4 linked regions of the Astyanax mexicanus genome follow. The protein of the gene in region 3 purifies or fractionates together with the protein of the main gene of each other region. This does not show direct contact. Links are inferred from orthologs where the notes say so. Each region holds a gene or a part of one and is shown on either strand. Other genes may lie near its edges. The genes, in order: cad, dpm1, ilk and cct8.

The links.
Region 1: the proteins of ilk (region 3) and cad purify together in Homo sapiens (affinity purification with mass spectrometry; 4 studies listed by BioGRID and IntAct, with this or other methods). This does not show direct contact. The link is inferred for Astyanax mexicanus from reciprocal best matches to the Homo sapiens genes ILK and CAD.
Region 2: the proteins of ilk (region 3) and dpm1 purify together in Homo sapiens (affinity purification with mass spectrometry; 3 studies listed by BioGRID and IntAct, with this or other methods). This does not show direct contact. The link is inferred for Astyanax mexicanus from reciprocal best matches to the Homo sapiens genes ILK and DPM1.
Region 4: the proteins of ilk (region 3) and cct8 purify together in Homo sapiens (affinity purification with mass spectrometry; 4 studies listed by BioGRID and IntAct, with this or other methods). This does not show direct contact. The link is inferred for Astyanax mexicanus from reciprocal best matches to the Homo sapiens genes ILK and CCT8.

Annotation. Positions count from the first base shown.
Region 1 is NC_064408.1:56,412,199-56,420,030, forward strand, and holds the start of cad (CAD protein), read left to right. Parts: upstream 1-4,824; 5' UTR 4,825-5,155; coding exon 5,156-5,249; intron 5,250-5,930; coding exon 5,931-6,070; intron 6,071-6,154; coding exon 6,155-6,284; intron 6,285-6,693; coding exon 6,694-6,836; intron 6,837-7,550; coding exon 7,551-7,692; intron 7,693-7,832. UniProt on the Homo sapiens protein: Multifunctional protein that encodes the first 3 enzymatic activities of the de novo pyrimidine pathway: carbamoylphosphate synthetase (CPSase; EC 6.3.5.5), aspartate transcarbamylase (ATCase; EC 2.1.3.2) and dihydroorotase (DHOase; EC 3.5.2.3).
Region 2 is NC_064420.1:35,198,474-35,206,376, forward strand, and holds the start of dpm1 (dolichol-phosphate mannosyltransferase subunit 1), read left to right. Parts: upstream 1-4,899; 5' UTR 4,900-4,947; coding exon 4,948-5,078; intron 5,079-5,997; coding exon 5,998-6,097; intron 6,098-6,391; coding exon 6,392-6,425; intron 6,426-6,579; coding exon 6,580-6,656; intron 6,657-6,761; coding exon 6,762-6,787; intron 6,788-6,928; coding exon 6,929-7,024; intron 7,025-7,554; coding exon 7,555-7,623; intron 7,624-7,716; coding exon 7,717-7,831; intron 7,832-7,903. Other genes in the region: collagen alpha-1(XX) chain, read left to right, coding at 67-138, 334-369, 466-532, 700-888, 1,846-1,923, 2,072-2,230, 2,315-2,343. UniProt on the Homo sapiens protein: Transfers mannose from GDP-mannose to dolichol monophosphate to form dolichol phosphate mannose (Dol-P-Man) which is the mannosyl donor in pathways leading to N-glycosylation, glycosyl phosphatidylinositol membrane anchoring, and O-mannosylation of proteins; catalytic subunit of the dolichol-phosphate mannose (DPM) synthase complex.
Region 3 is NC_064427.1:35,781,421-35,789,332, reverse strand, and holds the start of ilk (integrin-linked protein kinase), read left to right. Parts: upstream 1-4,909; 5' UTR 4,910-5,037; intron 5,038-6,917; 5' UTR 6,918-7,055; coding exon 7,056-7,144; intron 7,145-7,912. Other genes in the region: timm10b (mitochondrial import inner membrane translocase subunit Tim10 B), read left to right, coding at 460-1,005. UniProt on the Homo sapiens protein: Scaffold protein which mediates protein-protein interactions during a range of cellular events including focal adhesion assembly, cell adhesion and cell migration.
Region 4 is NC_064427.1:36,574,937-36,582,689, forward strand, and holds the start of cct8 (T-complex protein 1 subunit theta), read right to left. Parts: upstream 3,012-7,753; 5' UTR 2,910-3,011; coding exon 2,850-2,909; intron 1,471-2,849; coding exon 1,380-1,470; intron 1,272-1,379; coding exon 1,192-1,271; intron 1-1,191. UniProt on the Homo sapiens protein: Component of the chaperonin-containing T-complex (TRiC), a molecular chaperone complex that assists the folding of actin, tubulin and other proteins upon ATP hydrolysis.

The sequences.
Region 1 (7,832 bases), on a different chromosome or scaffold from region 3:
TGATAGTATTAAAAGGTTTACATTCTATTGTGACTACTTCTGAAATAAATATTATGAAATATAACTAATACCTCTTCACTTGCACAATTGTTTCAGCAGGTGGCACCAAAGTTGGACAATTATAAATGTTAATGTCTAAATATTTGAGTTGTATTTTTAACTAATTTTTGTTTAATGTTATTTTTTTTCTTCTAATAAATTTTTTATTTATCTGTTTCTTGCTGAATCTTTGTTGTAACAATATCAATTACTTCCAATACCTTGTTTACTTTGAAAAGCTCTTAGTGTTTTGCAAATGAGCCTTTATGTAAACCAAAGCAAAAATTTCTTGATGAAATCTAACGGTTGCTGAAAATACTGACTAGGTGTGGACTGCACACATCAAGTTATATCAAGTCTAACCAACATGACATACTACAACTATGATATTGGTCAATTTAACCATTGCTGATTTGTAGCAACAGTTTTTTGTGAATTAATTTCAATAGCTTTTGAACCGTTGAGGGTATCACAACAGAACAAGTTGTATTAGATCAAGTCCCACCCACATGACATACTACAACTCTGATATTGGTCAATTTAACCCTTGCTGATTTGTAGCAAAAGGTTTTTGTGAATTAATTTCAATAGCTTTTGAACCGTTGAGGGTATCACAACAGAACAAGTTGTATTAGATCAAGTCCCACCCACGTGACATACTACAACTCTGATATTGGTCAAATTAACCCTTGCTGATTTGTAGCAACAGGTTTTTTGTGAATTAATTTCAATAGCTTTTGAACCGTTGAGGGTATCACAACAGAACAAGTTGTATTAGATCAAGTCCCGCCCATATGACATACTACAACTCTGATATTGGTCAATTTAACCCTTGCTGATTTGTAGCAACAGTTTTTTGTGAATTAATTTCAATAGCTTTTGAACCGTTGAGGGTATCACAACAGAACAAGTTGTATTAGATCAAGTCCCACCCACGTGACATACTACAACTCTGATATTGGTCAATTTAACCCTTGCTGATTTGTAGCAAAAGGTTTTTGTGAATTAATTTCAATAGCTTTTGAACCGTTGAGGGTATCACAACAGAACAAGTTGTATTAGATCAAGTCCCACCCACGTGACATACTACAACTCTGATATTGGTCAAATTAACCCTTGCTGATTTGTTGCAACAGGTTTTTTGTGAATTAATTTCAATAGCTTTTGAACCGTTGAGGGTATCACAACAGAACAAGTTGTATTAGATCAAGTCCCACCCATATGACATACTACAACTCTGATATTGGTCAATTTAACCCTTGCTGATTTGTAGCAACAGTTTTTTGTGAATTAATTTCAATAGCTTTTGAACCGTTGAGGGTATCACAACAGAACAAGTTGTATTAGATCAAGTCCCACCCATATGACATACTACAACTCTGATATTGGTCAATTTAACCCTTGCTGATTTGTAGCAACAGTTTTTTGTGAATTAATTTCAATAGCTTTTGAACCGTTGAGGGTATCACAACAGAACAAGTTGTATTAGATCAAGTCCCACCCACATGACATACTACAACTCTGATATTGGTCAAATTAACCCTTGCTGATTTGTAGCAACAGGTTTTTTGTGAATTAATTTCAATAGCTTTTGAACCGTTGAGGGTATCACAACAGAACAAGTTGTATTAGATCAAGTCCCACCCACATGACATACTACAACTCTGATATTGGTCAATTTAACCCTTGCTGATTTGTAGCAACAGGTTTTTTGTGAATTAATTTCAATAGCTTTTGAACCGTTGAGGGTATCACAACAGAACAAGGATTAATTTGACCAATATCAGAGTTGTAGTATGTCATGTGGGTGGGACTTGATCTAATACAACTTGTTCTGTATCAATAACCTTAACGGTTCAAAAGCTATTAAAATTAATTAACAAAAAACTGTTGCTACAAATCAGCAAGGGTTAAATTGACCAATATCAGAGTTGTAGTATGTCATATGGGTGGGACTTGATCTAATACAACTTGTTCTGTTGTGATACCCTCAACGGTTCAAAAGCTATTGAAATTAATTCACAAAAAACCTGTTGCTACAAATCAGCAAGGGTTAAATTGACCAATATCAGAGTTGTAGTATGTCATGTGGGTGGGACTTGATCTAATACAACTTGTTCTGTTGTGATACCCTCAACGGTTCAAAAGCTATTGAAATTAATTCACAAAAAACTGTTGCTACAAATCAGCAAGGGTTAAATTGACCAATATCAGAGTTGTAGTATGTCATATGGGTGGGACTTGATCTAATACAACTTGTTCTGTTGTGATACCCTCAACGGTTCAAAAGCTATTGAAATTAATTCACAAAAAACCTGTTGCAACAAATCAGCAAGGGTTAATTTGACCAATATCAGAGTTGTAGTATGTCACGTGGGTGGGACTTGATCTAATACAACTTGTTCTGTTGTGATACCCTCAACGGTTCAAAAGCTATTGAAATTAATTCACAAAAACCTTTTGCTACAAATCAGCAAGGGTTAAATTGACCAATATCAGAGTTGTAGTATGTCACGTGGGTGGGACTTGATCTAATACAACTTGTTCTGTTGTGATACCCTCAACGGTTCAAAAGCTATTGAAATTAATTCACAAAAAACCTGTTGCAACAAATCAGCAAGGGTTAATTTGACCAATATCAGAGTTGTAGTATGTCACGTGGGTGGGACTTGATCTAATACAACTTGTTCTGTTGTGATACCCTCAACGGTTCAAAAGCTATTGAAATTAATTCACAAAAACCTTTTGCTACAAATCAGCAAGGGTTAAATTGACCAATATCAGAGTTGTAGTATGTCATGTGGGTGGGACTTGATCTAATACAACTTGTTCTGTTGTGATACCCTCAACGGTTCAAAAGCTATTGAAATTAATTCACAAAAAACCTGTTGCTACAAATCAGCAAGGGTTAAATTGACCAATATCAGAGTTGTAGTATGTCATGTGGGTGGGACTTGATCTAATACAACTTGTTCTGTTGTGATACCCTCAACGGTTCAAAAGCTATTGAAATTAATTCACAAAAAACCTGTTGCTACAAATCAGCAAGGGTTAAATTGACCAATATCAGAGTTGTAGTATGTCATGTGGGTGGGACTTGATCTAATACAACTTGTTCTGTTGTGATACCCTCAACGGTTCAAAAGCTATTGAAATTAATTCACAAAAAACTGTTGCTACAAATCAGCAATGGTTAAATTGACCAATATCATAGTTGTAGTATGTCATGTTGGTTAGACTTGATATAACTTGATGTGTGCAGTCCACACCTAGTCAGTATTTTCAGCAACCGTTAGATTTCATCAAGAAATTTTTGCTTTGGTTTACATAAAGGCTCATTTGCAAAACACTAAGAGCTTTTCAAAGTAAACAAGGTATTGGAAGTAATTGATATTGTTACAACAAAGATTCAGCAAGAAACAGATAAATAAAAAATTTATTAGAAGAAAAAAAATAACATTAAACAAAAATTAGTTAAAAATACAACTCAAATATTTAGACAGTAACATTTATAATTGTCCAACTTTGGTGCCACCTGCTGAAACAATTGTGCAAGTGAAGAGGTATTAGTTATATTTCATAATATTTATTTCAGAAGTAGTCACAATAGAATGTAAACCTTTTAATACTATCATTTGACAATTCTTACATGGTTTAATTACGGTTCTGTATACTCAACTAAAATTAAACAAACCAATGGTTACTACCCACCAATGACAGTATTACTATCAACAGTAAAACAGAAAAAGAAACCCTGAAAGCCCTCTGTTGAACTGCAGGTCAAATGACAGTAAGACTTGCAAAATGGGCTACAAGTGATTATTTGATAAAATATATACTCAGTTGAAACTTTGTCACAAAATCAGAATGAAATACTTTATGAAATATTTTTTAAAAAGGTTTTTTAAAAACAGTTACAAATTGAACAAAAAATGAGTGTAACCTTTATATTTTTAGATTGTTTTTAACAAAACAATTATTATAAAAAAATATTGTCAGGAACTCCTGAAGTCTTGTCATTTGTGACCAGCTAAAAACACTAAAGTACACTACACTTTCATATAATGAAGCATAAAGCATTTGCCCCGCCCATCTTCATTCGCCTTTTTGCTGTGTCGAGTAGTTTGTAGACGGTCCCTTAGCTCTCGTGCAGGTCGCGGCAGCCCATAGACGACAATGTGTTCTGTGGTTTTCTAAAGGCAGATGTTTGAGAGGGGAAAGACGTTGTAGCTGCTTGCTTTGGATGTCAGCATATAAAATAAGCAAGTATTAACCATTTTGCACACACAGTTCAAAAGCTATTGAAGAAAGAAATCCGAATATGCGAATATGAAACCAACTTTACCGGAGTCAAGAAGCACATGCTCAGAAAAAAAAAATAACATCATTAACACAAAGCTAAAATTGTATTTTGTACTCCTGTTGTGAAATGAACACTCATTACACTCATTGTGTACAACTATTGTTGTCTTTGTCTAAAGGTTTATGGGCATTTTAAACCCGTGGACGCGTATCTGTGGATTTTTTTTTCATAATCCTAAACCAAACCAAACCAAATGTATGAGTGGACTGTTCTATTGGTGAATAAAAACAGTTGCTTCTGCAGTGCTTTTTCGCACAGCTGTGTACTGAGTGTTGAAACCAGTAGATATTGTTGTGTTGTTATCTGAAGATACTGTGTTGAAACAGAAAAGAATCAGCTCTTTCCTGAATGAAAAATCACTACCGGGCCTGTCTTTCTTCGCCCCTCCCCCGGGGCGGAGTGTCGCGGAGCTGGGCTCTAGATTTAAGGCGCTGCGCTGGGGCGGCGGGTTTCCACGCTGCTGTGGCTCCGGACAGGGCGGTGTGGACTCGGGCTGCTGCTTCACGTTATTCTTTACAGACATCGGGAAAGGAGAACAGTTTCGTAAGACTCTACTCGTCCACAGTCGTGACCTCCTCCTCCTCCTGTGTGCTGAAAGCGCTCCGCCGCACACATACCGATTATCACGTGGGTCTATCGTCTCCACGAAAGAGGAGAAAAGTCGACGCCGTGGCAGTTAAAAAAACTCTGCTCCACCACCAGAGTACCCCATCTGCTGAGCGCTCTGTGTCCAGGCTTTAACTAGCTGTAAATATGTCGGCGAAAATGGCATCTTTGGTCCTAGAAGACGGAACCACGTTTAAAGGCCGCCTGTTCGGGGCCAGTGCCTCGGTATCTGGTGAAGTTGGTAAGTCGCTGGTTGCTTGGCGGAACACCGTGTTTACAGAGGGGCCTGATAGCCGGATTTACTCCGGTCGTGGCCCCTTGTCACACTAAAACGGCTGTAGTGTGAGGATAGAAGCAGCAGCAGCGATGCTAACTGCGTAGCTAGCCTGAGGGCTCTTACTGAGCTCCACGTGTCCTTCCTTCGCGCCGGATTGTTGAAAGACGAGCAGACGCGCTCATCCGCTGAGCTACAGCCTGTCCCCATACCTAGAGACCAGAGAAATAACCAGCACTCTTACATCTGTAGATCAGAGTAGATGATCTTGCAACATACATGATGAGTAAATCCAGTATTTCCACGCTTTATTTATCAGTTTATATAGCTAAACAGCTGACCAGCCTGAACTCGCGACTCTTTAGATGTTTGTGGCAGGTCCAGTGTGGTTATAAAATAAGTCCAGCTGTTTCTGTTTACAGTGTTTTCCACTCTGGTTATATTGTAAGAAACTAAGTCCAGTGTAAAGGTGTTCTAGCTAAGGTACGAAACGTTTTATAAGAATGCGCACAGACCTAATGTCCGTCCCATTTAATTTTAAATTCACTTATGACGCTTTCTATTAAAACATCTGTTGAGTAAGCAGGAATGCATGTAGGACAAAAAGTGTGATCATCTTTAACATTAACTGTCTTTACACCTTTTCAGTTTTCCAGACAGGAATGGTTGGCTATCCAGAAGCACTTACTGACCCTTCATATAAATCTCAGATATTGACTTTAACCTACCCACTAATCGGGAACTATGGTGTGCCCAGTGACGAGGATGGTGAATTTGGCATCAGCAAGGTGAATAATAATTTGCATATTTTTAAATTATGGCAAATTGCTTGTCAAATAGCAATTTAACTCTTTCAACATTTTTCTCTGTAGTGGTTTGAGTCTTCTAGGATCCACGCCACTGCGCTTATTGTTGGTGAACTTTCTCAGAATCCCAGTCATTGGAGTTCAGTCAAATCTCTAGATCAGTGGCTCAAAGAGCAAGGCATCCCAGGACTAGAGGGTAAGATAATAAGTTTTCTTGAAGAACATACATGCATCCCTTTACCCTGACACTCTGCGCCTTTTAGTAACTGTACTATATTAAACCCAGATCAGTATTAAGCAACATGGTTTGAATGTTGAATTTCTAATAACATTAATATTTACATGTATAAAGTTAGAGAAGCTAATTTACATAACAGAACTCTACTCTGCTATTCAGTTATCTATTGAATTGAATCAATAAATTTGGACTGCTCCTGACTTTTCCTCTAAAAGCAGGTTATACTCATAATATAGCTTTAATTTATTCTGCAATAGTGGATTTCTATGTATTGTGATGTTAAGTGGAGTAAGCAGGTCTGGCCCCTCTGCTTTTTTTATAACCTGCTTGCCATGTTCTACATGCTGTTGATGTTTTTGCAAAATAGGAGTTGACACCCGTTGTTTGACTAAGAAGATCAGAGAAAAGGGAACCATGCTTGGAAAACTTGTGGTTGAAGGGACACCTGCGGAGAACATCCTGTTTGACAATCCTGACAGTCGGAACTTGGTGAAAGAAGTGTCCGTAAAAGTATGGATTGACAAATAATATTTGCAGTATACCCTTTTCATAAATTATCAGCATTGATTTGTTTTCCCTCCCTTTTACCACAGTACATTTCAAACTTGAGTATTTTACTTTATACTACACTACATTATAGAATGTCATTACATTTTGTGAAAATACAGAATGCCAAAACAAAAGAATCATGAAGCAAGTGACCCAATTCAGGGTGCAGCATAGTTTTGCCTTTTTGGACATAGCTGCCTATACGGATTAACATTTTATAAAACAGTTTGAACATTTGGAAATACATGTTCCTACATTAAATCATTTAATATATGGGCTGTATATAGAAAGTATAGTAAGGAATCTATGTGACCCAAAGCCAGTTGATCCCTAAAAAGTAGTATAGTAATAAAGTAGCAAATAAATCTTAATAGACATCCGTGTCTGACTGATCATGACATTCTATTAAATTATTGCTGTCTTTGCAACTAAAAAAGTTGATTAAGGAGGAGTCTTGTTACATTATGATCATAGGACATAAGGGCTATAATAAATCATGATTTATTTACTTTTGGTACATTTCAGTGCAAATACTTTTGTACTTTTACTCAATAAGAGTTTTAAAGAGTACTTGGGGAATTTCTACTTTTACTCAGGGTCTTGATTTTTGTACTTTGTCCACAATCATCACTCCAGATTCATTACTGAAAGCTCTGTAAATTTGCTTTTTTCCAGAAGCCCAGGGTTTACAATCCAGATGGTAATTTAAGGATCCTAGCAGTGGACTGTGGTATTAAGTACAATCAGATCCGCTGCCTATGCCAGCGAGGTGCGCAGGTCACATTGGTGCCCTGGGATTACCCTCTGGATGTTTGTGGTGAGCAACTATTTGTAATAAATGTAAAATTATTAGTTCATACAAAGATTATTTGTATTTAGAAAAATCATATGAATTAAATTTGATTTTGTTATACAAATTTAAAATAATTTGTACAAAGAGTGAGCTTTTGCTTGTCT
Region 2 (7,903 bases), on a different chromosome or scaffold from region 3:
CTTTGCATAGAGTGACATAGAGAACATTGCCTTCTGTTGAATCTTTCTGGTATCTGTTTCTCATAGGGTTTCCAGGGAATGCCTGGCCACCCAGGGCCAGCCGGAGAGAGGGGGCCACTTGGATCTGTCGGGCCGACAGTGAGTAAATAAAGTATACCATGGTATAGATTATAACGTTGATTAGATAAACTGTATGGCTTAATACATATTCATACTGCTGGCAGGAATATTATATTAATTAATAGGCATTTCATAATGTTTTATCACAGTCATGGCGTTCTCAATTTGTAGTATGTAATCTTGTAATTAATAATGTCCATCTCTTTTTTTTAGGGGCTTCCTGGAAGTAAAGGAGAGAGAGGAGAGAAGGTGAGTTAAAGCTGTTGTGCATGGCACCATTGTATATTAAAAAATAAACATTTGATTGTGTTTTGTGAGATTGTTTTATTGTACTTTGTTTTACAGGGAGAGCCACAGTCTCTTGCCATCATTTACCAGCTCGTCACACAGGCCTGTGAGAAGCTAGTGCACAGTATGTGATGACCTCACACTGTCTTTTCTTCACATTTTTTGTGTCTTTATGTCAGAGGTTACAAAGTTAATATGATCCATATAGCATTTATAGTGATGCTTAGATCAGAACTCTTACAGTTCATGCTAGTTCTTACAGTGTTCGTATGTTATGTCACTGTGCTTTAGATGAAGTGCTAAAGATAGACGCCTTCCTAAATGAGATCAGTCGGAACCCCGTGCCCATCCAGGAGCCAGTCGGGCCTCCAGGTGAGCCTGGAATCCCAGGAGGGAAAGGACCCCCTGGGCCCAGAGGCCCACCGGGACGGCAGGGAGACCGAGGAGAATCAGGAAAACCAGGATACCCTGGCGAGCAGGGTGAGACATTATATAACTTTATAAAGATGATTATTCAACATTAAAATAAGTGATAAATCAAAATGTGCAGAATTTGTCTCTTTACACAACACATTAGAGATGAGGCTGCAAAGATAATGCATGTAATGTTAGTAAACTAGTTTTTATAGACACTATTTGACCACTAGTTTAATAGTATATGTACAACGTGCTTAAATTGGGCTGGACAATAATGCAGAATCAAAATATATCCCTATAAAAGATGTTTCAGTAATGATGATTTGATTTTAATACACATTTTTTGTTAGCTGGCAGCTACATGCTAGTGTTTCCGAGCCTAACTGAGAGTAGAGAAAACTATGAATATAATACACATATACACTATTTAACATGTGCAGTAACATTTACCGTATTTTTTGGACTATAAGGTGCACCTAAAATCCTTTACTTTCCCCAAAGATCATCAGTGCACCTTATACTCTGGTGCGCCTTATGTATGAATTTTACTGCTCAGGTTGTAAGGAGCTGGAAAGCCACTTCGCTTAGTTTTTCAGCAACGTTAGCATTAGCTCCTTACCGTGCTAGCTCATTGGCCATTCAGAGGTGAGTATTATTGGCCTGTAGCCTGCTGGCATCCCTAACTAGCACTGCCAGAGCAGCATTAGCATTAGCCGCTAACCACAGCACTAGCTCCTTCGTTGTTCAGAGGTGAGTATATTGAACTGAAGCCTGGAAGTTTACTGTGTTAAAAAAGCGAGTTGTGCGTATATTAGTAATATCGCCCTGCCTTACCGGATCACTCAGGGTTCCTTATTCTAGCTCTGTCCGGTGGCATTAGCGGCTAACCGCTAGTGGTTAGCGAGTAATCCAGCTGGGAAAAACACTTAGCATCGCATATTTCTATCATCAATACTTTTTACAGTCTATGTTAGAAACACTTTTCTTCCCCAGATTCCTAATTCTGCTTTAAATCCTCAGGAAGAAGAGGTGCATCTGGAGCTAAAGGAGCTCCAGGGATTAACGTTCAAGGTCCACAAGGATCAAAGGGTTTTGCAGGTATCTAATGTGAATATAGATCTATAAATGTTTTGGTTTTATGATCTATTTAAAGACATTAGTTAATACAGTTCGGGTATTGACTCCTTCATACTTTGTTTGCCCCTTAACAACCACTGTTTGATTCTGTTTGTGTGTAATACAAAAGGACCCCCTGGAGAAGCAAAGGTAGGGATGCAAGGGCCTAGAGGTGACGATGGTAATCAAGGTGCTCCTGGTCTTCCTGGGCTGGTGGGTCAGCCAGGTGAGATGGGGCCCCCTGGAGCGTGTGACAGTAGTGGCTGCCATCGAGGAGACCCTCTAGCAGGTACATAAAAAGGCTTCCTATACATCATCACATGTCCTACTGTGAATAATGCGTTTTCTCATTACATCTTTAATGACTTTACAGAGGATCCATACTTCGGATACCAGCCTTGATTGGAATAACATTGAGAGAACTGTTTTGCCGATCAGTTAAACACTGAGTCCTGAATCCTGAGTGCTTGCTCTCTCCCAGAAGAAGTAAAAGGGGCACTACTGGGTGGAATAGAGGAAAAATGGGCTGGCATGCAAAGGACATGTTTTAAAATCCCGCTCACTGTGTGACACAGCTGATGTAAACGACATCAGACTTCCAGCTTATCTTCATCTTTTAATTCTCCAGGAACTCTGGTTGCCCTTCATTATGTGTCAGTAATTTTTTTCACTTCTTTTATTTTTGTTTTATGTCTAATTATACTGTCCAGTTCCATGAATCACTAGAGTCTTAAGCAGGACTCATTTTGTGATGTATTAATTTCGATATTACAATAAAGAAGGGTCCCTCGTCATTTCATTTACATTTAAAGGGGAATATAGCCATTTTTGTTGTGAAAAGAGCATCTGTTTACTAAATAATGACAATTTCGCACTGAGAATGTTTTTAAAGCAATTTTATCAATGCTGTGGTTTATTGTGTTGTATTTATATATATATTTTTTAATATGTTGAAGGCATACTACCACTTCTTTGGTTTCCCTGATTTACTGCCTCCAAAACTGACATTTACTGTATAAAAATGTGATGAAAGAAAATACACTGTGATCATATTGTAATGTCTTGCTGTCCTTCATAAGCATAATGCCTGTTCTGTTTGAATCTGCACATTGAATTCTTGTGTTACAATTAACACTTTATTACATTTACTGTATTTAAATGTCTAAAACTGAATTACTGACTGTTGTGTTTTTTATATGTCTAAGCTTTTATAAACCACATTTGTTTGTGTGTGCATGTGTTTGTGTGTGAGATAAAGAGAGAGGGAGAGCACAGGTAATTAGTTATGTACCTATAAAAAAAAACAAATTATATTTAAAAGAAATTAATAAAATGTTTTTTTTTTCATATCACATTTGCCTGTGTCAACACATTTTCCTGATATAAATATGTAACAGAAATGTATATAGACCTGTTCTGTTCTGTATATGAAAGTGAATACATGAGAATAGAGTAAATGTTATCAGAGATATTAAAATAGACGCTGTTAAGAACTATTTAAAATAATTAATTTATTTTAGACCAGAGCTGCCCGAGCGTGGCCTGATACCCAACCCAAACTCAGGTCGACATATCCCACCGCTTTCCTTGGATCCTGTCGGGTGGGGCTAAAGAAAACTGTCTGTGACGTAGGCCTACTTTTATTAATGTTATATATTATTTTATATAAAGCTATGGCTTTATAATCACAATATAGCAAAGTTACAAATCAAACTCTGATCGTAAAAAAAGGTAGACAGGTGTGAGGTCCCCAAATTTGTCGGCAATAGACTTCATTTGGAGCTCCATTCTTAACATATAGTTTTTTTTACAATAGGCCTACTGTTTTTCCGTGTTGCACTGTTAATTAACATCACTCTGAATAGATTTCACTCATTAAGACAACTCAGAATCATAGGTAAAAAGATTTAGCACTGTACATACAAAAAAAATATGCAGTCAAGCTTTACCAATAATTGGCAATGAGTCTTTCACATATCTGTAAAGAAATTGTGGCTCGCTCTTCTTTCCAGAATTGTTTTCCTTCAGCCACTGAAGGAATATTTACCCAAGTCCTGAGGATATTCAAGATGTTTTTTTTGGCAAGTGTGAGATCGGCCCCTGTGTTCTTTTTGGTCAGCAGTGTTTTTTGCCTTGGAACTCCCATGGAGACCATTTTTGTCCAGTCTTTTTCCTATTATTGAATCATTAACACTGACCTTAACTAAGGCCAGTGAGACCTGCAGTTCTTTAAATGTTGTTCTGTGTTCTTTTGTGACCTCCTGGATGAGTCGTCCATGTCCTTTTGGAGTAATTTCAGTTGGCCGGACGGCCACTCCTAGGAGGGTTCGACATTGGACCATGTTTTATCCATTAGTGAACAATAGCTCTCACTGTGGTCTGTATTAGATTTTTTTCAGATTGAGATCTTTTATCCAGCTTCATTTTGTCAGACAGTAATGAGGCCTGGGTGTGGTTAGTGAAACTGAACTCAGCTTTCCACAATGTGTGAATAATCACAGTTAATTTATGGGGGGGGGGGGGGGGGGCAAACAATTTTTCACAAAGAGCTGGATTGTTTTGGATAACTTTTCCTTAATAAATAAAATTAGAATTTAGAAAATACTTTTTTATATTTACTGAGGTTATATTTGTTGGATATTAAAGTTAGTTTGATAATGTTAAAAATGCAGTATGACAAAAGAAAGAGAATCTGTAAATCTGTAAAAACTCCACTGTAGAATAGTACTATTTCTCTTGCATCATTCATAAACTTCCCTATTCTGTTGAGTGGGTTTAGATGGCCGGTTCAAAAAGAACAGTAATATTAATTTCCTATAACTTCCAAAATCACATTAAGCAGATAACTACACAGGCTTGTCTGATTCAGAAATTGTTTAGTAGTCTGTTCTCAGCTACAGCTGTCCCGGAACTCAGCCCTGGACTGAGTGTAGGAACTAAAAGCGGGAGCGCGGGTTTCACCGGGCAGCTGTCCGCGCGCACATCCGCCGTGTAGTTCTGCCCAACATGGCAGGATCTAAGAGTAAGAAGAAGAACAGAGAGGAGGCTGATAAATACTCCGTCCTGTTACCGACCTACAACGAGCGGGAGAACCTGCCCCTGATCGTTTGGCTGCTGGTGAAGTACTTTGGGGAAAGGTGAGTGTTAATAGGAGGTGGAAACAGAGCTAATGCTAATGCTAGCCGGCTCAGAGCTGCCAGATAAAGATGAGCTGTCACTGAAGTGCTGTTTACACTCCTCAGCTAAAACACAGCTAATAAAACTCTATATCCATTATTATTTCGACTTCTGCATACTTCACACTTTGAGATTTAACATAAAAACATAGTCATTGAGAGTATACAATTATTATTAGATGAATTGTGGAGAAACCTGAGATAAATTTACAATGGGGTGTTGTGAGAATAAGGTCTTTAAATACATATTAGTTAGTATTTGCATCTCAAATAATTTGAATATTATTGGAAAGTTGTTGATGATTATGGCTTACAACCAATGAAAACCCAAAAATCCGAGTCTCAAAATCAGAAAAATTAGATCATATAAGACCTATTGGTACTTTTGGCAGTGTGGGCAATGTGCCAAGTTCTGCTGGAAAATGAAATCTGCATCTCCATTAAAGTTGTCAGCAGAGGAAAGCATGAAACCATTTTCTGGGAAAACACTGCACTGACTTTGGACTTGATATAACACAGTGGACCAACACCAGCAGATGACATGGCTGTCTAAACCATCACTGATCATCAGTACATTTTGTATTTCATTTGTAAGTCAAGGGACCAATGTCTGAAACAAGAGTGGAGAGACACACAGTCCAAGCTTCTTGAGGTCTAGTTTAAAGTTTCAGTTAATCAGTGACGGTTTGGAGAGCCTATATGTGCTCACATTTAAACACACAAACTTTAAACACAATTGTGACATTGTCCAGCTGTAGTGTAGGATTATAATGTATGATTGTAGTTATAAATATAATGTAATCTAATCTAGTCCATTCCCCTAGTTTCCTATTTATAGCCTAAAACTAAAGCCCTTCACTCTCATTTTAATTTTGTACAGTGGATACAACTACGAGATTATAGTCATCGATGATGGAAGCCCTGATGGGACACTCCAGATCGCAGAGCAGTTACAGAAAATTTACGGAGAAGATAAGATTGTAAGTTGAAGTTTATATCTGGGTTGTGTGGTGGGCTTATGTCATTAATACTTGTAGCAGAAATTAACAATACAATACCCTTTCTTTTGATTTACTGTCACTGGTCATTTTTATAAGTCAGTCTGTGACATATATAGTTATATGCATCTGTTCAAATATTGTACACTATTGCACATATACATGGTTTTTAAATAATCCTCACTGCTGTAGAGTATGAGCTTTTTAAAAATGAAAATGTAATATTACTTATACTGTCCTGAGAATCTAATCAAAGTGTGTGTTTCTTTCTTGAAGGTCCTGAGACCAAGAGAAAAGAAATTGGGTTTAGGTGAGCCAAAATACATTTTTCTTTTTCTTATTGGTGTGACATGCATTTAGATTAATTTGTTAAATTCTGTTAAATTTCTGTAGCAAGTGAAAAGTGGGTTTGAGGTCTGGAGAGAAAACTAAATTGTGTTTTTTCTTTCAATTATGTTTTTCAGGAACAGCATACATCCATGGCATTAAGCATGCCACTGGGAACTTCATTATTATTATGGATGCAGATCTTTCTCATCATGTAACTAAATAATTGCTGCTATTTTCTTATTGTTCTTTATTATCTGATATCTTTTTTAATTGTTTTAGGCAGTGCATAAGTTAACTATTTCTTCTTTACCTGCAGCCCAAGTTTATCCCAGAATTTATCAAGTAAGTAAAAACTACTGTAACGTTATGCATGTTTAAATACAGAGATCTATTACTGAACTAGTTTGACCTGTATTCCAATTGTTTTTTTGTGTGTTTCTGTATTTCTGTGCTGACCACTGGAATTTTTTTGTTGTTGTGTAGGAAACAGAAAGAAGGAGGATATGATCTAGTGTCTGGAACACGGTACAGAGGAGATGGCGGTGTGTATGGATGGGACCTGCGGCGAAAGCTCATTAGGTAACTAATTAATAACCTGTGTCCTACACCACTCTGTTTTGTGCCCTCCCTTAAATATTTGTTAAACCATGTTGCCTATTAACCATATTGAAGCTGAGTAGCCAAAACATGTTTGAAATGTTTCAAAAATGATTAATTATTTTAAAAAGCTTTAATGACAGACCCTTATTTAGACACTGAAGCTAAAACTAGAACTTCACTATCTTCAATCAGAAAACTTGGTACTGTTATGCTTTAAAACACTTTAAAATAACTATTGGGTGCATTTAAACTTGGGCTTGGCTTGGCCTCTTCCAGATATAATCCTGATACTCACTTTTAAGCAAAGATTAGATGGGTTACCGTCTCTGTTAGGAACATTAGTTTAGTTCTTTCTGTTATAAGCTAATAATAAAAACATGGCTTTGAATTATTTGCTTCCTCATAGGTTAAAACTGAGTAAGACTAGCCTGAGTAAGACTAGCCTTTTAAAAGTTTTAAAAATATCATTATATGGTCTCATTTTCTTCCATGCTCTTACATCTCTCTAGCCGTGGGGCAAATTTCGTCACACAGGTGCTGTTGAGGCCTGGAGCATCAGATCTGACAGGAAGTTTTAGGTATGTGGTACAACATGGTATTATCATAATTACTGATCTCTGTGTAAACAGCAGGATGTACTGTTGCTTACAACGATTGTTTTATTTTCTCAGGCTTTATAAGAAGGATGTGCTGGAGCGTCTGGTAGAGCGCTGTGTGTCTAAGGGCTATGTGTTCCAGATGGAGATGATTGTTCGTGCTAGACAACTAGGCTACTCCATTGGGGAGGTCAGTCCACCTGTACTTTACATTACATGGTTATTTTATATCTTGCTTTCATATTGAACTGAACTATACTGT
Region 3 (7,912 bases):
GGTACCATCCAATATTTGTTTTTAAGAGACACACCCCAAAGCAGCCAGCAGACAGTGATTGAGGTGATTCCTTTTGTTGATGCGTTGCTCTGCGATTCAACTGGGCGAGCCGCTAACATTGATTTATTTTTGATAAAATTAAATTGACAGGCTTACCTTTTGGGAGATTGGTTTAGTTTATACTAGTCATCTATTCACAGTAACAAAAAAAAAAAAAACAACATTTCTTAATGTGAAATTGAGGTTCAGATTTCTACTGTATAAATCACAACATTTTTAATTACGTCCAAAACGTAGTTTCATATTTCATAAGTAGTTGATATGAATTTATAACCATCTAATTTAAATCTATTATTTTATTTCTGTTGCCATTATTGTAAATTCAGTCTGATTTACATTTCCTTTAAATTGTGAACCTGAAAATATGAACAGTCACTTACAAGTTGTTCTGATTTTCAGGAGCGCTGTGTAGACAACTGTGCTAGCAAATTAATCCGCTCCAATCATCGCCTCATGGGCACCTACGTGAAGCTGATGCCGGCGATGGTGCAGCGACGGATGGAGGAGATGGAGAGCAAGGCTGCAGAAGCAGCTAAAATGGAGGAGGCAGCTAGAACACCAGCGGAGCCGCTGGCTGGAGGTTTAGCGACAACGGGTCCAGCTTCAGCCGCGCTCTCTGCTGAACATGTGATGACGGCAGAAACGCCTGCTGCATCAGTATCATTTCCACCATTAGCTGCTGAGCCAATGCTAAGTGATCTGTCATCAGTCCCAGCACCAGCTACCGGTGGCACAGCCACTACCATTCCCTCTTTAGGACTGCAAACTGAAAATGTGTCATTGGTTCCATCGCTTGTTACAGAACCAACAACTCTGGGATCTTCAGAGGGAACTAGTTCTTCTATAAATTCAAATATAGCGCCAGGCATCCAGATAGACAAGTTGGCTCTAAAGCAGATCACACTAGACAGCAGCAGCACATCCACAGGTACAGGTTCATCATGACTATAGATTCATTGTTTAGAGATGTGTTTTGTTTTAAAACATTGAAGAATTTGAAAAGAAAATACAGATCTTATCATGTACTTCTAAGCAAATTATACTCATCTTAATAAAAACAATTGTACCTAAAGAAAGTGTCCGATTACAATGCTATTTAAAAGAAATACAGGTTATTAGGAACAATAAATTATTAATGTAGATTGATGCAAACTCTTGGTCATATTTATTGAGCTACACATATAGAAGTACCAGATTTCTCAACATTAGGTTAGAGAGATGTGGCAGACTGTGTGTAAAATATAGAGATGGTTGGATACTTTATTGGTCCCAAAGTAACTTTGGGCAGTCCTAATAATATAAATAATTAAAGTCTAAAGAACTTTCCCACTCACATCTGTTACAATCATGGTTCTTCTCTGGAATGACTCAAAAATGTATAGAAACACCTGTTTTTAAAAGTGTAGAAGCAGTTCAGGCAGCCACTTGTATGACTCTGACTGCCATTAATTTTGCTTTCGGTTTGAACTTTCAGTGTTCCTGTAATTTAGCAAAATTAGCTTAAAAAATAGCTTCATCTTCGGTATGATAAAATAGAAGATGCAGCCTTTTACTGTGTTGCCAATACAAAGTAAAGACTGTAAAAACATGCATTTTTCAAATGCATTCAAGAAAAATGAATAAATTATTAAAATGTCTGTTACTACATTGTGTGCTTTTTTTTTTTTTTTACAATTTTTGTTGTAACCTTTTCTTTGTTTCTTGGTAAAGGTATTTTGGAACATGATTTTATATCATTATAAATATAAATTATAAATATAATTTTATATCATTTTGTTAACTAATATAATAAACAGAATGTGGAATAATAGAATGGCTGTTGCACAGCAAGGGTTATGAAAAAAAAACACTGCTAGTCATTGTCATGACTGCTGGATAAAAACAACTTGCATAGAAATGTAAGGTACCATTCAGTTACAATAGTGCTTGAAACATTTTTTCTAAATATCTGCATAAATGTAACCTGAAATAAAAAAAAAAGAATAACAAGAACCAAATGGGTAACGAGAACAATTGAGTCAAAGATTAGTTGGTGTTCCTAATAGTTTAGGCTCCACCAATCCACAGGCAGACAGAATGTGTACAAATGGGAGATATTTAAGACAATTGTTATTTCCGTCCCCAGGAGTGATCAACCAGCAAATAACGCACCAAAAACAAGGAGTGTAACAGTCTGTGTGGTCACAAATGAACGCTGGGTAACTTCTAAGCAACTAAAGGCCTTTCTCACGTTGACTAATGTTAATGATCATGAATCCAAAAAGAATGTTGCTGCCTGTGTGGAGTTTGCTAAAGCTCACATTAACAAGCCAGAAAGCTATTGGAATAGACCTGACCTTAATCTAGCAGAAATGTTGCAGAAGGACATGAAGTAGAAATCCTCCTTCATAGTAGAAATGCAACCATTCATGTCTGAAACTCTAGGTCAACCAAGATTTTATTAAATGTTAAACATTTTTTTAAACTCTTTACAGCCTGCCATTAATCAGTATTTCAAATGCTCTAATGAGATCAAGAAAAAGTTTCCTACAGAGGCCACACAATACTATAATACCTTTTCTCAAGTCAGAATGTTCGGACTATATTCACAAGCTTGCACTGATAATTACAAAATGCATTGACCCAATAAAATATTAAGTCAAATGTAGATGTCAATCGACATCGATCTGGGGCTCCATGTAAAATCTCACCTCTTAATATGCCAACATTGTTTCAATGTCGTACGTTCAACCTTTAATTAACCATAGCTCACATTTGGGGCGCTTAAAATTGTATGAAAGAAGAAAAAATCTGTATGCCATGAAGAAAAATTAACAATTTTATTTTTAGTCTCTCTATATACTGAATATACATCTCTGAAAAGTAGGAACTGTACAACTACAAACAAAAAAGCTTTTATTGCTACAAGTAGAAAACGATCGAACCATTTAACATTAAATGTTGTTTTAACGATATTACTTCAACCATATGTCAACCACATTTTAACGATGTATAAATAAACGGAAGTTATATAAATGTATATAATTTATATCCTTTGTGATTTTCTAGATTTTATTTTTGATATTCCATCTCTTACTGATAAAACTTACCTACCCTTAAATAAGATATGGGACGTTCCAGGATTTTGGTACATTTCAGGGTGGTCAGGTGGTCACTTGTGAAAATTTGATCTTCAATTTGATCATTTTTAGTCATATATTTATTAAATACAGGTAATAGGCTATCAAAAAGTTTGATTTGTCAAGCTCAGGTATCAAAGCAGTTTTTTTTAATTAGATTATGCAATATATTTGGTAACTTAGAGTAACAGGGTTGCAAAGCTAGGCTAAGTTGTGGTTTACCCCAGGAACAGATGCTAACTGTAAAATATAGCGATAGATAGATAGATAGATAGATAGATAGATAGATAGATAGATAGATAGATAGATAGATAGATAGATAGATAGATAGATAGATAGATAGATAGATAGATAGATAGATAGATAGATAGATAGATAGATAGATAGATAGATAGATAGATAGATAGATAGATACTTTATTGATCCCCGAGGGGAAATTCTAGACATCCAGCAGCAGACACAAAGTTACAAATTGAATACACAAAGTTACAAAATAAAATATATAAAAGATAAAGATACATATAAATACAGTCAAATAAAAAAATAGAATGTACAATGTAAAAATGCAGTCTTTAGTGTGTCTGTAATGTAGAATGGAGGTAGTGCAGTTGAACAATAGACAGTGAACACCAGTTGATGTGCATAAAGTGAGGATAACTGATGTCAGCCATACAGAAAGTGCAAATAAACAGTTATATAATGATTTAAATTCAGCAGTGCAAAAGAGATAGTAGATGACAGTAGATGGATAAACTAGTGAATGAACTACTAGTGCAAAATAGGGTAGAACTATAAAAATAGTGTTATAGGCATCAGCAAATCTGAGAGTGTCTCCATAGCTGAGGGTGTGTCCATGAGTTGCCAGGGTGAAAAAGTGTCACAGAGTCTTTAGTTTGCTGTGCTGGGAGGAGTCTTATGGCCTGAGGGACAAAAGACTTTCGGAGTCTGTCTGAGGAGCATACATCTTCTATGTATAGAAGATCAAGGACAAACATGGTTATATAAGTATATAAAGTAAATTTTGACTCTACTCACTATTAGTCTTACAATATGAGTAACAGGGTTGCGTTCACTGGGTGACACACACAACTGTCCTTGTGATGTCACTTCCTTTGTGCCAGTAGACAAATATTTTTAACTCTTTCTCTGCCAGGTAAAATTCCTTATGGTAACAGGGTTGAGCGCATGTTGTGGGACACAACTTAATAGCATAAAAACTATACCAAAGAAGTTGTTTTCATAAGTAAAGGAGATGCATATCAACAATATACAAGAGGAAGTCATTTATTTAGAGCTTATTTTAATTGTTAAATTTGCCAAAGGAGTTGGTCACCCAATCTGTGGGACAAGAGATAACGGCCATTTTTTTTGAGGTGGTCCAAAGGTATTCGGTCTTTTGAATAATATCTAAGGAGCTTATTTTTCCACCATATTTTACAGTTTGTCTTATAACAAGTACATTTGTCACAAAATAGTCATTTAGATATTTTGGAAATGTAAATTTAAATTTAAGTGGTGGGACAGGAAATGTACCAAAATCCTGGAATGTCCCCTATATAGACTGTTCATCTCTTTCTCAGTGGGCAAACTTACTAAATGAAGCAAGGGATCAAATAATGATTTCCTTTACTGTAAAAAATCATTTCTCCAGGGCACTGTGTAAAATATATGACTGGAGGGCAGGTTGTGAGCTGGTTTCCAACAGAGGGCGATGAAACCGTGATTTCTGCAGGGAGCTCTTCCCTCCACAGAGAGAGGAGGACCTACAACCTCCGACTAGGGTGTGGACATTAGTGTCCGTCAGACTGCCCTTACCATCCCTGGAGCTTCGTCCCGGACTAAATTACAGTTTTACCAGGTAAAACCCGTGTTTTTATTTTATTTTATACGAGCGTTTACGGCGGTTTCACGGTGGTGTGGTGAGCTCTCCGCCCGCAGTTGCCTGTTTACGGTGCTAGCTCGCTAGCTAACACCCTAACCCAGCTAGCTTAGCGTATAGAGGCTAACTAGCTTAGCTAACTGTCTGCTAGCTGAGTGAAAACGCTAATGCTGTCTCAGTTTATTCTTCTAAAGTAGGTAAAGTGAGGGAAAACGTGCTATTTTCATTAAAAGATACACTTTAATTGAAAGAAGTGTAATTTTATTACATTTAGGTTGTACTATTTGCTTGTTAAATACCATAAAAGGGCTTGTGTCTGCTGTTTTCTCCTCTTTTTAACTACTAGCTGCTTTCTGGCTTTGAAAACGTCACCAGTCCTGAGTGAACACATAGCTGTTAGTTAGCTAGGTTATCCTAACTGACTGAATGTCTAGGCAGTGTTTTATTGTGTGATTAAATCAGAAAAGTGCTTAAACTGTTTACTTTCAGGTCCACACCCTTTAAAACATGTTTCTGAAGTATTATTAGTCTCTTATTACTCGAATGTAATGTTTTCTAGCTGTTTTCTGCTGGACTGTAGTCTGTAACTTAATTAGTTGGTGCAGTTAGTTGCAGTTAGTTGGTGTCATATAGAGTTAAATGGCTAAATGTATGTTTATGAGCACTGGCAGGTCTTTACACAGTCCTTGGCACACAGGTAGAACAGCAGGAGTAATGCCAAGACGTGTGTGTGTGTGTGTGTGTGTGTGTGTGTGTGTGTGTGTTGGAATGTGAGCTTCCCAAAGCAAGTTTTGGATTCCTTAAAATAAGGAATGGCAGGTCTTCTTTACACGGTCATTGGCACATAGGTTAGAGAGCAGGGGTGATGCCGAGAGAGAGAGAGAGAGAGAGAGAGAGAGAGTGTGTGTGTGTGTGTGTGTGTGTGTGTGTGTGTGTGTGTGTGTGTGTGTATGTATGTGTGTATGTATGTGTGTATGTGTGTGTGTTGGAATGTGAGCGTCCCAAAGCAAGGAAAAGTCATGCACTCCTTAAGGAATAGCAGGTCTTCTTTACACACTCGAGAGTGTGTGTGTGTTAGGGATGTAAGAAAATATTGATAATGCATTGTATCATGATATTTTGTTTTCAACAACAACAAAAAAAAAAAACACTATATAGCAGCTGCACTCATTAGATCCCACTAGAACTGGGTGATATTATAAAAAAGTAATTTAATTAATCAAATGAATTGGATTAACATCCCAATAATACATCCCAGTGTTCTTATTTGATAAAAAGTAAACTTTTCTTGTATTTAGTATCAGTAAATATGATTTTATGTTTTTTATTTCCTTTCCAATTTTGATTTAAACATTTGTATGGCAGTATTTTGCAGTATATGTAGTATCGTATCCCCTGTATCACAATCAGTATCATATTATCAGGTGCTTACCAATACACAGCCCTAGTCTGTGTGAGAGATTTGCAATATAAGTTTTCAAATTAAGAAACTAATTTTGACTCCTTAAGGGATGAGTATGTGTGTTTGGGAAAGGCTAGTGATATTGGCTGGGAGCTGAGGTTTATTATAGGAAAAAAAAAAACTGTACCGTGGACCATACAGTCAGATGTTTGTGTTTAACAGATTTCCAAGCTTTCCTACTTTAAAAGTTGTTGGATGGACAGCAAGCTATTTTTAAAGTTCTCTTGACCCTAAAAGCCCTGAGGGGCAGTAACTTCTGGGTCATTCAACCTTTTCTACTAAACAGATTAGAAAAAAAAATGTTTGGCTGTGCTTAAGATGTCAATTATATAGTCATAGTGTATGCCATATATTCCCATTGTATCCTATGCTAACAGTCTCTTTTCCCCCTTTCCAGACGGCCTGCACCGTAACTGAATGGTCCACTGCCCTTCACTTGTGGCATCTAGGTACCACTGCATCACACCCCTCTCCCAGGGCGCTCCTGGTAGGGGAAGAAGGATTCTACCAGTACGAAGAGTGAGGGGGAGCTGCAATGGATGATATCTTCACCCAGTGCAGAGAGGGCAATGCCGTAGCAGTCCGCCTCTGGCTGGACAACACTGAGAATGACCTAAACCAGGGGTGAGTTGACTCCTGAATGCACTAAATATCTGCAAAAATGAATTATAGCTTAAACGCTGCTGACCAGCTATCAGGAATTGAAGTGAAGAGTCACAATTATGACAAAATACAGTCATCGCTTATTTTTGAGGTAATGAATGGGTTCTTAAGAGCCTGCATAATCACAACACTAATCTTGACAGTATTTCCTCTTTGAACTGAAACCTTCCTTAGTTCTTCAGCGTACCTCTGACTCTTACTGTTATCTCAGGTTTTAATCTTTCCGGAAGGCTGCTCCCTTTTTTTTTGACTTGGTCTGTTCATGTCAGGCTTTTTTCAGTGTTGTTTTATCTGATTGTGAGGGATTGAGGTTGAGCAGTGTTGTTTAACTCAACAGATTAAGACATAATAGCCTCAGTTTGGAATGATGTCAGGTGTGATGTCTCCTGTTTCCAGTGTGGGTTAGGTCTACATATATGTAAATATTTTGTTCTTTAGTTTCCTACAAAATTTGGTATCAAGAAGATCTGCTATAAAATGTGGTTCATGTTTTGAGAGGATTTTAAGCTGCTGGGTTCTTTTAAATTTTTTTCCCTAAATGTCCTGTACATCTCTCGTATGCGCTCATGAGCTCTGCATGTTCCTGCGGTTTGGGGAGTGGCTTTGTAAGGAGGTCTGAAGGTAGAGTGTGTAGAAAGTGTGTACCACATAACCCCACCTTGTGATAAGGAATAGGGTTGAATGGTTGTATATGATGCCTCATGATGTCCATAAACATTCTTAAAATAT
Region 4 (7,753 bases), about 790 kb from region 3:
CACAGGTTTGTCATCACCACATTTAGGGATTTTTTTACACCTAAGAGCAAGGTCACTGTGTGCATCACATAGTATAGGTTTGGTCCAGTATGTATTCATTAAGCGCCTTAAAAAAATGTTTGATTCATACTGTTGAGATCCCCCACCTATGTGTTTGTAACAGAACTAATTCATGTCCTTTTTTGTTCATCAATAATGATTTACAGTTACAGTCGGTAAAGTAATCGCCAGAGTAATCCTCTCTGCCTATACTGCAGCATGATGTATGTGAACGTAAGGGGGAGTCAGATTTAATCACAGCACGAATTCTTTATCTTCTTCTGTTGTTGCTATTATTAAGTGGCCGACAACGGTCTGCCTTAACTTCCTGCATTGTGACATGGGAAAGGAGGCTTAACGCTAGGACACTGCCATGGGGATATATGTGGTAAGAAGTCAAAAAATCCAATAAACCCAAGACACTGCTTTTACAATGCAAATGAACCAGTCTATGGTTCTATTGACCTGGACTGAAGCCACCTTTTTTTGGTCTTTAGGCATTGAATAGTGGTTTGTTGCACCTTTCAGATCAATTTGGTTCAGACGAGACGAAGACTAAACAAAGAATGTGGGAATGCAACGCTTAGGATTAGGTGATTCTTTTTCTGCTCGATTGGCCCATCACAGATATTGATCTTGGGTGGGGCCAAATGCCACAATAATGCCACATAGATGCTAGGAAACTTGGTACAGCTCAGACAGTCCGTGATTACCCGTAAAGAACTGCACTGTGGAGCTCAGGGTGAAAAAAAGAGAAAATTGTTTTCGTGCTTATCTCAACTGTGTTAGGTGGAGAGCTAGCTCTGCTACTCATTGATTGGGCTGAAAGATGTACTGAGAAGAGTGGTATTATGTGGATAGTGGGGTTAAAACATTTATTTTCTTTCCACCACAAGGTACATTAGTTCCAAACATGAGCTGCAAGGAACAGCAAAAACTCTCCAGACTGAGCTGAACCCTTAGCATGGTCTGTAGCACTAAGTGGCTGCTGACGAGTGAGTCAAGAACACAGGCTTCCTTAAATGAGTATCTTCAGCTTCCTGACACCGAGCAGCTTCAACGGGGATCCACACAGGACTGCTTAACTTAACTGTTTAATCAGCTAAATCAAAGGAATATCAGTAGATTTTAAGTCTCAAGAACAAAACTCACCTCAAGCTCTCTTAGAATGGTGGCTGCGTCATTGGTTACAAACAGTTTCTCCAAGTGGTTGATGACCATTTTGTTCATTCCTAAAATAATACATAAGAATAAGAAAAGAAAAAATTGAAATCAGTTATACAAAGCAGTTCAATTTCCCAATGAAGCTTAGCATCTTGATTAAGGTAAACACTTTTTACCATTAGGTCCGTATGCAGTTCTTGTGGTCTGTGCCAGCTCCTTGCATGCCTGGATATTTCTGAAAACGGCTTCCTCGAGACCTGAATAATGCTGAATAGAGAAGCCAAAGACAGAGTTTTTTCAGCACATATTACAAATTTGTACAAAGAAAAATGACACAATTACTGAATTCAAATCTGCTGTGATTATAATTAACCAATAAAAGCAAAATTTTGATGACAAGTTGAAATTCAATTAACAGCGAATTAATGTTTTTTTTTCCCTCACATGACTTAAAAATTTAAGAATAAATCCTGCTGTAACAAACGAAACAATTACAATTTCATAACTTACATTTTAATGACGAGTTATATAGAGCATAAAACACTTAAAGATTTTAAATGGAACACCTTTGTAAATCAATTTAACAGAAGGTACAGCACTATCCCAGCACATCCACATTCTGTAAATAAAGCCAGATTAATAAAACACACAATCACGCACTGTCCTGTAGTTATGCTCTCAGTGATGGAAAGAACTTTACACAGCATTTGAAGGGTCTGTGATACATGTCACCATAAACTCTGTTGAAATGAGTTTAGTTCATTAGTTAAAATTAGTTATTTCTCTGTGGTATTTATTTTATTTAGGAGAACAATTTTAAGCACTGATTTAAAGTGAGAAAATTAAATATCTAAATATATTTTATTAGATATTGATGCACATACACATATTTCATTATTGTATTTTCTGTAATCATCCAAAAAGTGTTTTTTTTTTTTTTTTTTGCACTAGGGCAACACCATGCCATAGAGGGTTAAGATAAAGTCAAATCTTGACTGATAACATTGATCTGCCACATTAACTAACCTACATGTGCTTAGCTGCTTTGATCTTGGCATCAATATGTTTATGGCAAAAGGGTGGGTCTCTACACTGAACATTTAGCTAGCTGAACCTTTTAAAACAATAAACTATAAAATTAACATTATGAATACAAAAAAAAGTTCAACACACTGCCTTTAAAATGTAACTAACGTTAGATTAGTAAGCTGGTTGGTGTTAATGGACATTTCTGTCACTGGGCTAATCGGCTCTTAACAGTAGCTAACCTAGCTTAGCTAGGCTAAGTTAGATAGCAGCTGAATAAAAAAGCTTAGTTTATGGCTAATACGATAATAAATACTGGTGGTTGTTATTATTATTATTGTATTCGGGACTCTGTCCCGGTCACTGCAATAAACAGAGCTCACTTGTCACAAATTACCCAAATAAGGGCAGATTTTTGGGTAAAGCGCTCAGTAAACTAAGGGAGTCTGGAGCTCATGTTCTAGAATCCTCCACCCACATGATCCGTATTTCGGCACGCTGTGCTAAGCTATGCTAAGCTAGGCTACGCTAGGCTAACTACCGGCGGCGTTGCCGTTGCCGCTGCCGCTCCCGCCCCGATAATCACTCCGCTCAGCCTCTATTTCAGCCGGTAAACCCACCTTAGCGCCGTCCTTCAACATCTGGGCGAAGCCCGGCGCTTTGGGGACGTGGAGGGCCATGCTGAGAGTCTGAGAGCCCCGCGGAGGCTGAACTGATGGAGATAATGAGAGCCGCTGCAGCACAACCCGAACAGCGTGCGGCTAAGAAAGACAGGACGAGGGTCGATCACCGATAGAGGGAGGCTCAGAAATACAGGAGGACTAATCGAGCTACGAATCAATCTAACTAGCCAAACTACCGGCCTCTGTCAACAGTCTTTACAGTTGTTTTCTGTCTGGATTGATTTACCAGACATACAAAGTTAGCAAAATTATATATTTTTGTTTTAATTTGGACTTGGACAACCCCCATCCAAAATAATAATAATAATAATAATACTATTTGATTCTCGATAGGTAGAAGTACAGAAACTAGGGTTTAAAATACTTCTGTAGAATTTGCACTATTCTACAACTAAAGCGTTTTACTCAAGTAAAGGTGTAAAAGTACTGGTTTCAAAACTATTTAAAGTATAAAAGTAAAAGTAATGTAAGGGGGAAAATGCCATTAAGGGCAAAAGCTTAGGCTGTGCCACAGGGTCCTATAGTGCACTACCCCCCTCCCCAAAATAAAGTTTTCCTAAAAGCCATAATAACTATGATGTTATGTTAAAAATGGTAATGTAAGAACGTTTGGGATGCTAAATTCACTCTATCCAGATAAAAAAGGTTTTTTATTTAACAATTAAAACAAGCTTAAATGTAATAGCAATAACACAGCTATTCTTAGTAGAACTTAATTGTAATTGTAATTGTGTAATAAGGTAAGAATTGGAAGTAAAAAGACGCCTGAAAAGTTTTTAGTCAAGTAATGTATCGTGAAGTTTATTGTAATTCATCACTGAGGGAGATTGTGCACCCCCTGGTGGCCAATAAAAGAACTGCTCACTGGAAACAAGAAAACCACAGAACAACAGCAGCTGCTGCAATAAGAAGGAAGATTATGATGAGGAGTTGTAACAGTGATAGAGCAAAAAAAAATAAATAAATAAATTTAAAAAGCCACAGCAGCTTATAGATCCTATATGTACAGACTGTGTGGTCTATGGATGAATGGTATATTTTAAAACTTAATTTAACTTTTTTAGGTTGTGTAATTTGTGTAATATATGAACACTGTGTCACACCAATTATTGTATATACAGCTGTACAAAAAAAAGAGATCTCTCCAATCTTTTCCTTAAGTCAGCATCGCTACACATATGAAAGCCATTTCATTACAGTCATTCCATCAAGCTGAGCTTATAGAATTTATGTTCTAGGAACAACATTATATCAACCAATAGTAATGTGAAAGTCTGTCAGAGTACATGATGTCCATACATGTGAGCTGTGATTAGTGTTTATTAAATCCTCTCAAAATCAAAACATTTGTGTTGTGTTGTTCATATAGGAATATTTCTTTGCATTATTTGATTTCTGAAAAAAAAGTTGTTGTAATTTGTACAAATAAATGTTCTAAATACAATTTGTTTACAATAAATCTAAATTGTTTTAAATGCTCAAAATTAAAAAATGTCCATTCTGCTCAAACGCATGCCAATAAATAGTATTAATGCACTGAAATGAACTTTTTATCTAAAACTGTACAAAATTAAACAATAAAAAAAATCAAATGTTGTTTTGTTTTAGGTTTTTATTCAGTTTGCCTTTTTTTGTTTTTTACCATTGTATGGTATTCATAACAGTTTTTGCTACTTACCATCTTCAGTACAAGAAGCCAACTAAACAGGACCACATTAAATAAAAGCCATATTGAGACACAGAAATGAATGAATGTAGAGATTGTGTATTTCAGCTGAAAACAGACATTTGAGAAAAGGTAGCAAACTGACTAAACTGATACCAAGCATGATAACTGATTTATTTTATATGAGTAGAGTGTACAAATGAACTTGAACCTGCCGTTTATTTGCTCCCTATCTACATTACATTACATTACATTTGGCAGACGCTTTTGTCCAAAGCGACTTACAATATTGAAGTGCAAATAATAGAAGAGGTTAAGTACAAAAATAATAGAAGTTAAAAATAAAGCATCTATAGATAGGGCCTTAAGGAGGTCAGAGGGAAATAATAGGATAGAGGAGTGAAGGAGAGGAAGAAGGAGCTGAGGTTAGAATTAGTTAGTTTGTTAGAGGTGTTAGGAGAGTAAGTGCTCTTTGAAGAGCTCTGTCTTCAGGAGTTTATTAAAGATAGTGAGAGATTCTCCTGATCTGGTAGTAGAAGGTAGTTTGTTCCACCATTGGGGAACTCTGTATGAGAACAGTCTGGATTGCTTTGTGTGAATGTTTGGCAAAGCGAGGCGACGTTCATTGGAGGAGCGCAGCGGCCGGGAGGTAGCGTAGGCCTTCAGGAGCGAGTACAGGTAGGAAGGAGCCTGTACTGTCATCACCTTGTAGGCGATTGTAAGCACTTTGAATTTGATGCGAGCAGCAACCGGTAGCCAGTGGAGCTCAATGAGCAGCGGAGTGACATGTGCCCGTTTTGGCTGGTTGAAGACCAAACGTGCTGCTGCGTTCTGAATCATCTGTAGTGGTTTTACTACGCAGGCCGGGAGGCCAGTTAGTACGGCATTGCAGTAGTCGAGGCGTGAGATTACCACAGCTTGTACCAGGAGTTGGGTGGCCTGTTGCGTCAGAAACGGTCGAATTTTTCCGATGTTGTAAAGCGCAAAGCGGCAGGATCGAGCAACTGAGGCCACATGGTGCGTGAAGAGAAGCTGGTCATCAACCATGACACCCAGGTTCCTAGCAACCTTTGTCGGTGAGAGAGAGAGAGAGTCGATGGTTATGGCAAAGTTGTGTTGAATAGAAGGTTTTGCTGGTATGACCAGAAGTTCAGTCTTTGAGATATCAGGTGAAGGTGATGCTCCTTCATCCATGAGGATATGTCTGAGAGACACTGTGATATCCGTGCAGAGATTGAGTGATCTTCAGGTAAGAATGACAGGTATAGCTGAGTGTCGTCGGCAAAGCAGTGGTAGGAAAAACCATGTGAGCGGATAACCCGACCTAGAGAGGTGGTGTATATTGAGAAGAGAAGAGGTCCCAGTACCGAACCCTGGGGAACCCCAGTGGGTAACGAGTGGGCTGGGGACAGCCGTCCTTGCCATGACACCCTGAACGAGCGCCCAGTGAGGTACGATCTGAACCATGACAGCGCATTGTCTGAGATCCCCATGTTCGAGAGTATAGTTAGGAGGAAGTCATGGTTGACTGTGTCGAAAGCAGCCGAGAGGTCCAGCAGAATGAGCACTGAGGACTGTCCTGCAGCTCTAGCAGTTTTTAACGCTTCTGTCACAGACAACAGAGCCGTCTCAGTAGAGTGCCCTTTCTTGAAACCAGATTGGTTCTGGTCCAGGAGGTCATTTTGGGTGAGGAAGCCAGAGACTTGATTGAGAGCTGCTCTTTCTAATGTTTTAGAACATTACTTTCTTCCATGCTCCCTGCAGGCCATAAGCGAAATCTGTTCAGAATGGTGTTCATGAACAGTGCAACAGGGAAAAATCATAGGCCTGTTATAGGAAATAGTAATAGTTACAGTAAAGGCTGGTTTATTCTGGTTATACAAGTTTTAGTCACTTGCAGAGTGTATATAAGGTGCCTGTACTTCAATTGTGGACGAGTGGAGGAGCTTGTGATATACTATATCACGCTAATGCTGGGCGGTATGACCAAAAATGTATATCACAGTATTTTCATGGTATATCACGGTATTTTTATTTATTTATTTATTTTTATGCATGACTGGGACTGGGCTCAGTATACACTGTGTGCTTCTACACAGCGCCTCTAGTGGTATGGTGGTATGTGAAAAATGTATACTGGTTTTAAATTGCCGTATGGAATACCATATGAACCGGTATACTGCCCAGCACTATGCTATAGCTTTAGAAACAAAAAAGAACAGCATTAAAAAACGTAGGCCGGGTTACCAATTATTTTCTTAAACCCAACCAAGCCAGAATTCAGGTTTGGAACAGGCAGACAATTTAAACTCTAGTATAAATTATTCTGTCTCTTCACTTTTTGGCTGAATACAAAAGTGTTTTTTTTTTTTTTTTGCCTTTTTTTTTTCATTTCTTTTTCCAATAATTTTGGTGCATCCCTAAGAAAAAGTAAATAATAAATAATGATAGGTTTGGAAGAAAGAAAGAAAAAAAAGAAAGAAAGAAAGATGAGGGTCAGTTTCAGAGAGATGGCCTAATTTCAAAACACTTGCATCACTCACTTGGTGTCTGGGATACTCTGTGCTGATCTTAACGGTGGACATTTTTCTTGCCTAATGTCACTCAGAGCCCAGTTTAGTGGCGACATCTGAGGGACTCCCAGCAGGGTTAGATCCTAGTGGGCAGACACACATTCTCTCTCTCTCTCTCTCTCTCTCTCTCACACACACACACACACACACACACACACACACACACACACACACATTCTCTCCCTCTCTGTTTTACACACACATTCTCTCTCTCTCTCTCTCTCTCTTACACACACACACACACACATACAGCAACCCTCAAACACTGACTCTTCTGCTGAAGAGCTGCCGATATGATTCATTTGTTGTTGTGTTTTGGTGTTTATGGAAAGAGGCTTATCTAAATCTTTTAAACTTAAAACTTTTTTTTTCAAGAAGTTTCTCAGAAATACATTTCCAAAGCCAGGTAAGACTTATTTTACCTCAGAATAAGACAATAAGATAAAAGATTCATTTGTTAGCCACTATTGTAAAAGGGTGTTTGCAAGCTCTAGGCTATGCCAGCTAATTAAATTATTAGTTTGACACTCTCACACATTATTTTGCATTATTCTGTATATATATATTTCTATATAGCTGTTTGCTATAACTAACATAATTTA